Saccharomyces cerevisiae S288C: one gene and its partner. The gene in region 1 interacts genetically with each later gene. Each region holds a gene or a part of one and is shown in the gene's direction. Other genes may lie near its edges. The genes, in order: FOL1 and HOS3.

Region 1 (5,211 bases):
CCCTTTCCTGGCAATATAGTATATTCACTCCAATCGGTCGTGCCCCATATATTCGCAAGAACAGCATTAGGGAACCAGCTACCTTTTGTGAGGAAATTAGACAGAATAGCCAGTTGTGTCATTTTTGTAGATATTGGTGTTGTTGGCATTTGGAACTGAAACACCTTCTCCTCTCCTAAAGTCAAAATATCATATTCAGAGATTGAGCAGTTCAGCGTTTCATACAAGGACTCGGTTTCTTTGTCAAATGTTGTGATTAATTGATCTATGGAGGTGGTTGTACTAGAGGCAAATTCAAAAAACTTGGGAGAAAATCTTTTAAACGCCAGCTCATATTCAAGACTATCATGTTGTATACTCATGACATACTTTTTTGTCGCTTCAAAAGCTATTAACCATGATTTCAAATCTAGATAATTTGAAGTTTGAAAGACCAACGTGATATCCTTTGACATGTTATCATGTGCCTCTGTTACTTTATTACCAAATATTTTTACTTCAAAACAAAATTTTCGATCTTCCTCTGGGTCATAGCGCACATTAGTAAGGAAGACACCAAACTTATCAGTTTCCTCCACGTAGGTCTTCGATGGCGACAAAAGGAACATACCAAAAACTGCATTTTTCAGAAAGCACCATCTTCTCACCCATATTTCCCTGGTAGGCTTTCCAACCTGTGTTTTCATATAAAGCCACCCAGACTTTTCGGGCGATTTTGGAGGCACTTGCGTATCCTTTGATAGCAGCTTCGAGGAATGTATTGATCTTATATTGTAATCACTTGTGTCACTTGACGGCGTAATTCGTTTCAAGGTATACCTATATGCTTGCTTTTTTGCATTACTGATATCAGAATCCAATACTTTCGATCCTTCGATGGAATTTTCTACCCATATTGCGTAATTGTCTAAATACTCATTAATGCAAGGAGATAAATCTATTTTCCTTCCAGAATCTTTCGTTATAAAAATGCTTCTTGACTTTAATACTTTCATTGACTCTAGTATGAATTTATCTAAGCTTAATTTTACTGCTGATATGGCACTTATGAGGTCTAGGGAGGCCTTAAGGTAGTTTTTTTGCACTTCAAATAATTGTAAGGCATCACTTTTGATAGAAGATGGCTCTAAACTGGTTTTTGAAATTCTTATAGCCTGGTAGGATGCCAGCATACTGTCATATTTACCTTGGTAAAAATCGAAATTTTTTCTCACGTTTCTGTAGGGTTCAATTGCAGTAGTCATAAGTTCTAATAGCGCGGTTGAGTGGCTAGAGTCATCACCCTTTACAATTTGCAGTAATTTCATAGAAAAGTCATAATAGTCCTTGTTAAAACTATCAATCAGCCTGGGAGTAAACGATTGGTTACTGACAAAACCGTTGCTCAGCAAGGCTGGAGGAGGTAACAATTGGGATAGGAGAGTTTCCTTTGCTCTTCGAAAATCTTCAAATGACACCTTATATTTCTGATCGAAAAAGTCGACAGTCTTCTCTATCCAATCCTCTAATGCATCCACCCTTGTTTGGAAGAAATTTACGGATGCACGAAAGGAAGGAGAGTCAATTGATGCTTCTTTGAATGCAACCGATATTAGCCTTAACTGCCTCTTTTTGGGATCCCTCCCGTGAACGGACATATTTCAAGTAATGATATATCTCTGCAATATGTCAATTGATCAACAGGTCTACTCATGCAGCTATGTTTTAGTTACACCTAGTAGTTTAAAATTTCACGTGTACTTTCCCTGTTTTGAACGCATTAGCAATAGCGCTGGTGTCGTTGCGCAAATTCATAATAAAAGGAAAATTTGAAAAACTTATGATAAATTGCAAGGTCATCGAAAACAGAAGAACAAGGTTTTTTCCTTTAGTAAATGCAAAATTAGTAAAAGTGATAGCGTCTTCTTTGATTAACAAGTTTCAATCTTTGCCTTTGGCTATGTCAAAGCTATTTTCTACTGTCAATTCTGCAAGACATAGTGTACCACTAGGCGGCATGAGAGATTATGTGCACATTAAGAAACTAGAGATGAATACAGTTCTTGGGCCTGATTCCTGGAATCAATTAATGCCTCAGAAATGTCTACTAAGCTTAGATATGGGTACAGATTTTAGTAAATCTGCGGCTACGGATGATTTGAAATATTCTCTAAATTATGCAGTTATTTCTCGTGATTTGACGAATTTCGTCAGCAAAAAAAAGAATTGGGGTTCTGTTTCTAATTTGGCTAAATCTGTGTCTCAATTTGTTATGGACAAATATTCTGGTGTCGAGTGTCTGAATTTAGAAGTGCAGGCGGATACAACGCATATTAGAAGTGACCACATATCTTGTATTATTCAACAAGAAAGAGGGAATCCAGAATCACAGGAATTTGACGTTGTTAGGATATCTGAGTTAAAAATGTTGACTTTGATTGGTGTTTTCACCTTTGAGAGACTTAAGAAACAGTATGTAACTTTGGATATAAAGTTGCCTTGGCCAAAGAAAGCCGAATTGCCACCGCCAGTGCAAAGCATAATTGATAACGTTGTCAAGTTTGTGGAGGAATCAAATTTCAAGACTGTGGAAGCTCTTGTAGAATCTGTGTCAGCTGTTATTGCCCATAACGAGTATTTTCAAAAGTTTCCAGATTCGCCTTTGGTGGTGAAGGTTTTGAAATTAAACGCAATCACAGCCACAGAAGGTGTTGGTGTAAGCTGTATTAGAGAGCCCAGGGAGATTGCGATGGTAAATATTCCATATCTTTCCTCCATACATGAATCGTCTGATATTAAGTTCCAATTGTCTTCATCACAAAACACTCCTATTGAGGGTAAAAATACATGGAAAAGAGCGTTTTTAGCGTTTGGTTCAAACATTGGGGACCGTTTCAAACACATTCAAATGGCGTTGCAATTATTATCAAGGGAAAAAACGGTTAAATTACGGAATATTTCGTCTATTTTTGAAAGTGAACCAATGTATTTCAAAGATCAAACCCCTTTCATGAATGGGTGTGTTGAGGTGGAGACATTACTGACCCCAAGCGAATTATTAAAATTGTGTAAAAAAATTGAATATGAAGAGTTGCAAAGAGTCAAGCATTTTGATAATGGTCCGAGAACAATAGATCTGGATATTGTTATGTTTTTGAATAGCGCCGGAGAAGATATTATAGTAAATGAACCGGATTTGAATATACCGCATCCTAGAATGCTGGAGAGGACTTTCGTTCTTGAGCCGTTATGTGAATTAATATCCCCCGTTCACCTTCATCCTGTGACAGCGGAACCCATTGTAGACCATTTAAAACAGTTATACGACAAACAGCATGATGAAGATACCTTATGGAAATTAGTTCCATTGCCTTATCGTAGTGGTGTGGAGCCTAGATTTTTGAAATTCAAGACCGCTACAAAACTTGACGAATTTACTGGAGAAACAAACAGAATTACTGTTTCACCTACATATATCATGGCTATCTTCAACGCTACACCAGATTCATTTTCCGATGGAGGTGAGCATTTTGCGGACATTGAAAGTCAATTGAATGATATCATTAAATTGTGTAAAGACGCATTATATTTGCATGAGAGCGTCATCATCGACGTTGGAGGGTGTTCTACCAGGCCTAACTCTATTCAGGCGTCTGAGGAAGAAGAAATACGCAGGTCTATCCCATTAATTAAGGCCATTAGAGAAAGCACTGAGTTACCGCAAGATAAAGTCATACTATCCATTGATACTTATCGTTCCAATGTCGCTAAAGAAGCGATTAAAGTTGGAGTGGATATTATTAATGATATTTCGGGAGGTTTATTTGACAGCAACATGTTTGCCGTAATTGCAGAGAACCCAGAAATTTGTTATATTTTATCACACACACGTGGTGATATTTCAACGATGAATAGGCTGGCGCATTACGAAAATTTTGCATTGGGTGATTCTATTCAGCAAGAATTTGTTCATAATACCGACATTCAGCAGCTAGACGACTTGAAAGACAAAACAGTGTTAATCAGGAATGTTGGTCAAGAAATTGGCGAAAGGTATATCAAAGCGATTGATAATGGAGTAAAGCGCTGGCAAATTCTAATCGACCCTGGACTTGGTTTTGCTAAGACCTGGAAGCAAAACTTACAAATTATTAGACATATCCCCATTTTAAAGAACTACTCATTCACCATGAACTCAAACAATTCGCAAGTGTATGTTAACCTCAGAAATATGCCCGTTTTATTGGGTCCATCGCGCAAAAAATTCATTGGACATATCACAAAAGATGTGGATGCGAAGCAAAGAGACTTTGCTACTGGAGCGGTGGTAGCGTCGTGTATTGGTTTCGGCAGCGACATGGTTAGGGTCCATGACGTTAAAAATTGTTCGAAGAGCATTAAATTAGCAGATGCTATTTATAAAGGTTTGGAATAAAGGTTAGTTATATAGATTAAATATGTAATTCTGTTTTGTAATAATTTTTTTTCCTGTTTCATAATAAAGAATCGTTAAAAATAACCAAGGGAGGAAACAAGTGAAATGAAGTATAGAAAAGATATAGAAAATAAACTTAAATATTCAGTTTACTTGTGCTTCTTTTTTCCCCTCTATGAAATATAGCATGATAAGTGATTGTTCCTTTGTTTTTTTCAGTGGATGTTTCACCTAAGCCTTTGGACAATCCTTGGAAATATGGCCAGTTTCGTTACAGTTGTAACAAAGCCTGTCATTTTGACAGTCCCTGGACATGTGGCCAGCTTGACCACAAGTGTAACATTTCAATCCACTAATTCCGTCCTCTTTCATACAGTCCTTAGCCATATGGTTTGGACCACCACATTTATAACATGAAACTTTGGAGAATCTGCTGGTCTTCTTTGGTTCAGGGCATTCTCTGGAGATGTGGCCGGTTTGGTTACAGTTGAAACAACGTTGCACAGTACATTCACTTCTAACGTGACCGGTTTCACCACAATTGTAACATTGCTTGAATTCAACTGTTCTTGGCATGGTACAATCCGTTTGAACGTGACCGGGTTTGTTACAGTTGTAACATAGTCTTTCAGAATCACAGTCTTCTGCCAAATGGCCAATCTTACCGCAAACGTAACAAGCTTTTTGAGACATCTTTTTCGTATTCTTTTCTTTTTTCCTGATTTCTGAAGGGAAAGCCTTAAAATAATACAATCCTCAAGTGCCCCCAAAGCAGAAAGAGCATTTCTAATCCATCG
Region 2 (4,681 bases), on another chromosome or scaffold:
TATAATCAAGGGAAATTGAGAAGAGAAAAAAAAAATGTGAACAATCAATGTATATTCAGAGTTCTGTAAATAAATAAAGAAAATAAAGTTTACATATTACTAAGGATTTTTGTCGCCTATTTTTACTATTTTTCAGGTGAAATGAAACGTTTTATATCACATTTTGCTATGATAACAAAGTTATTATGATTTTTATGTAGCCTATATTATTGACGCGTTGTTATAGCATTCTATGAATTTGCCTGTCATTTTCCACTTCAGAAAGGTCATCTAATTGCTCCCACCAGTTGAATAAGTAATTCTCGCAAATAATCTTAAACCAAGGCGTAAACTTGTAACTTGGGTCAGCAAACATAGTTTTCAAATCATTTGGTGAAACCCATTTGAAGTCTCTAACTTCATTGACGTTTGGGTTGACAGTCAAGTTTTCTTTAGCGTTGATCTTATAAAATAGGATGTAATCAATTTCATGTTCACCCCATGGTTCATTGCTTGGTGCCATGTAATGGATTCTGTTTAAAAAGTGAAACTTACCCCTTGTCTTAGTTTCATCTTCTGGAATACCTAATTCATGATCTAGTTTTCTCACCGCCGCAGTAATAGCGCCCTTAATCTTATCGTCTAGCTTACCCTTCAAACCTAATTCGTCATCAATACATAGTGGATGAGAGCAGCATGTGTTAGTCCAAAGATCAGGGAAAGTTATTTTTTCAGTGGCTCTTTGTTGTAAAAGTAATTCACCTTGTTCATTGAAAATAAAGACGGAGAATGCACGATGTAGTAAACCCTTTTCAATATTTTCCATTAAATGACAAACTTTCTTGGTACCGGCACCAATAGCATTATCGTCCCAATCCAAAACAATACAATTTTCATTCATTAACTTAATTTGCTCCTCATCATGACCAGAAAAACATGTTTCTCCGCTTTCGTCATTTGACGTCTCACTAGATCGGGTATTAGGTCTTTGTTGTAATGGAATAATTTCAGGAAACTCTTCCAAAATGTCTTCAGGTGTTTGGTTTTGCACTAATTTGGCGTAACTAGATACTGCACCATGGGGCATACTATTGTTGTCGGCAGTCATTGAGGTGTAATGAATTTTTGGCTTATTTTTACTCTTCCTGTATTCCAAATACGAATACTCTAATATTGAATTAAGTGGGATATACGCCTTCTTGTCACTAGAAAACTGTTTCCTGTTAAATAGATAAAAATGAATAAATAAATATAAATGGAGTTAAGACCGAAAAAGAAAGGCAACCCCCATCGACAAGAAAAGAGTTATGAATAATCATGTTTCTTAATAACAATTAAAGGGAAAAGAATCGGCTGGGCATCGTCATTGCGAAACTGTTGACTGGAAAAATTTCAATCACAATTAAGTTTTGTCCATTTCGTTCCAGCAAGAACGGAAACTTTTACCGATAGCAGCGGAAAAAAAGAAAAAAGAAAAAAAAAAGAAATTAATATAGGCAAAATAGCCGCATGAAGCCCTTAATAACCTATACTATTCTGTGACTGTTATTTATTTACCCTCGTAATATTAAAAATGTCCTATACAATTTCTGTAATAAAACCTAATTTTTTTAGGACCCTTGAGTGTTACCCTGCTCATGTTTTTATTTTTGTTTTAGAGAAATGTAAACAACAGTTTGGGAAAGTTTCAAGAATTGTAAACAACTAATCAAGGGATAATACTATTTTACTCTTTCCTTTAAACATGAAGAACTATTTTTTGTTTACGTTTTTTTCTGAATTGAACAATAAGATCTTGTTAATTTTTTTATCGCTTGATCTATTATCAGATCTTCTCTTTTGAAAAACTAGTCCTTTTCCAAATTACAAACTTTCTTTTCGTGTGGAGTTGATCAGTTCAGTTTCTCCAATACTTCTTAAGTCACTGAAAATATAACGAAAAAAAGGGCTCTGGAAGTAAACAGAGAAATTCGACGATATAATATGTCTTCCAAGCATTCAGATCCATTGGAGAGATTTTATAAGCAATTTCAAGCATTTGTTCAAAATAACCCTAATGTCATATCGGCAGCTCGAGCTGCCGCACAAATACCGGAATCTGCAAAAGCTGTTGTAGTACTATCCCCATATTCTTTACAGCATGTGTTCCCGAGAGAATGGGTAACAAAATCGTATAGGAAAACTATAGTCGAACGACCAGAAAGATTATTAGCAAGCTCGATGGGTATATCAGCTGCGATTACAATGTATCCATCCCTTTTCACCTTGAAATCCTCGCATCAAAGGAAAGGTTCATTGATGGCACCTCATGTGCTTAAAGTTCATGGCAGTAGCTGGCCGGCTGAGTTAATTGAACTTTGCCAAATGGCAGATGCTAAATTGCTAAAAGGCGAAATCGAAGTCCCAGATACTTGGAACTCAGGTGATATATACTTGAGCTCAAAGACAATTAAAGCTCTACAGGGAACAATTGGGGCCATTGAAACTGGTGTTGACTCAATTTTCAAAGGACCATCTGCAGAACATATTAGTAACAGAGCTTTTGTTGCTATACGGCCTCCTGGTCATCATTGCCACTATGGTACACCATCCGGCTTTTGTCTGTTAAACAATGCACATGTAGCCATAGAATATGCGTATGATACTTACAACGTCACGCATGTTGTCGTGCTTGATTTCGATCTACACCACGGTGATGGGACCCAAGACATTTGCTGGAAACGTGCGGGTTTCAAACCTGAGGAGGAACCTGAAGATTCATCTTATGATGATTTTGGTAAGAAATTTGCCGAATTTCCCAAAGTCGGTTATTTTTCTATGCATGATATAAATTCATTTCCAACAGAGTCGGGATTTGCCACAAAGGAGAACATTAAAAATGCATCTACCTGTATCATGAACTCTCATGACCTAAACATCTGGAATATTCACTTATCCAAATGGACAACCGAAGAAGAATTCAATGTATTATACAGGACAAAATATAGAACTTTATTTGCTAAAGCAGATGAATTTTTCAGGAGCGCAAAACTAGAAATGAATCAACAAGGGAGACCATTCAAAGGTTTGGTTGTCATAAGCGCAGGTTTCGATGCATCAGAATTTGAGCAAACTTCAATGCAAAGGCATAGTGTCAACGTTCCTACAAGTTTTTATACAACGTTCACCAAAGATGCATTGAAATTAGCACAAATGCACTGTCATGGCAAAGTTTTGTCTCTAATGGAGGGTGGATATTCTGATAAAGCTATATGTTCTGGTGTTTTCGCACATTTGATCGGTTTACAAAACCAAGATTGGGTTAAAGAATGGGGGTCTGAACAAGTCGTTAAAGAGATTGTTCGTGGTTGCAAACCGGCTTGGAAACCCTATAAGACAAAAAGAGCAAAAGATGTCATAAGAATATGGGCAGAAGAAGTTATCAGGCTGGGACGAGCAATGATACCGGAATTCGATGATATCATTTTTAAAGACGCAGTTAACAGCGCACCTTCTAATTCTCTACTAAAGGCTACTGTCGAACCAGCATCCACGTCGACAATTGCTCAAAGAATAATCAGATCTCATAGAAGCAACGCTTCCCCAGAAAAAGAACTTCATGAAAACAAGCCGAGAAGCACGGAAAAACAGGAACAAAGGGAAATTAGAAGCGATACCAAGGTCAAGCAGCTCTCGTCAAATAATAGAGCAGCTGAAACCCAAATTCCGTTTTTGCAACAAGAATTTTCCAGTGAGGATGAAGATGAAGAATACGTTTACGATGAAGAATTGAACAAAACTTTCAATCGCACGGTGGAGGATATTACCATTGATGATATTTCTAGACATTTGGAGACCTTAGAAATTGAAAAAAAAGGTGATGAAGATTCAGACCATGAGCTAAAAGAAAAAAATTGGAAAAACTCGCACCAACGCCGTCTACAAGGTAATGGAATGTATAAAATTCCCTCCAATACGAAACCGCATCGCATAAGACAGCCTCAAAACGCAAATACACCAACTTATGACGATAGTGATATATCAATGATTTCTCATGTTTCAAGAAAACATACAACAAGAAGTGGTGGAAGATGGTGATACCAATGCATATATAATGTTGTCTTGAACCCACTAAAGAAGTGACGCATATATTACTTTTTTGTATTTAGTAACACAATTTTTCTATTTTTATATTTCCTTGTATAGTTAGTAATTTTAATTTTTTTCCTTCTTTATCTCAGCTCTTCGACCATTTGGTCAAGAAGTTAGTTTTTTTCTCTTATTTTATTTGACAATATACTAATTTTATTATATGGTATTGTAAATAACATTTGAGGAATAAAAAGACAGTCACTCTATAAGCTTTATCAGCCTGACATTTTTTTATTATTACAAATATATCGTTGAAAGAAAGAAGCCTCTATACATCTCGCCCTCTTTCTATCATTAAATCAATGGAGGTTTACTGGCAACGTTATATTTCTACAATTTTAGACCATCAAACCTGAGGAATATGTATATCTACTTTCTCCCTTTCCTCTTCTTTAACTGGTTCACCACCCTGAAATATACACGCAAAGTCAGTGATGAATGGTTGAAGCATACTAATTGGAATATTTAGAGTTGGGGAAAACACGATGCATAAATTTCTTAGATTCATCTTATTAAACTTACTATTCTCATTGATCCTTACCAGCAGTTCAAAAAGAGCATACATCAACGA

What was found.
Region 2: of FOL1 (region 1) and HOS3, extra expression of one is lethal in a mutant of the other (dosage lethality), as found in Saccharomyces cerevisiae (one study listed by BioGRID).

What each region holds. Positions count from the first base shown.
Region 1 is NC_001146.8:162,684-167,894, forward strand, and holds FOL1 (trifunctional dihydropteroate synthetase/dihydrohydroxymethylpterin pyrophosphokinase/dihydroneopterin aldolase FOL1), read left to right. Parts: upstream 1-1,939; coding exon 1,940-4,414; downstream 4,415-5,211. Other genes in the region: SIP3 (Sip3p), read right to left, coding at 1-1,637; mRNA-binding translational activator GIS2, read right to left, coding at 4,646-5,107.
Region 2 is NC_001148.4:327,644-332,324, forward strand, and holds HOS3 (histone deacetylase), read left to right. Parts: upstream 1-1,962; coding exon 1,963-4,056; downstream 4,057-4,681. Other genes in the region: mitochondrial 37S ribosomal protein bS1m MRP51, read left to right, coding at 1-19; isopentenyl-diphosphate delta-isomerase IDI1, read right to left, coding at 221-1,087; GTPase-activating protein BEM3, read right to left, coding at 4,457-4,681. UniProt on the Saccharomyces cerevisiae protein: Responsible for the deacetylation of lysine residues on the N-terminal part of the core histones (H2A, H2B, H3 and H4).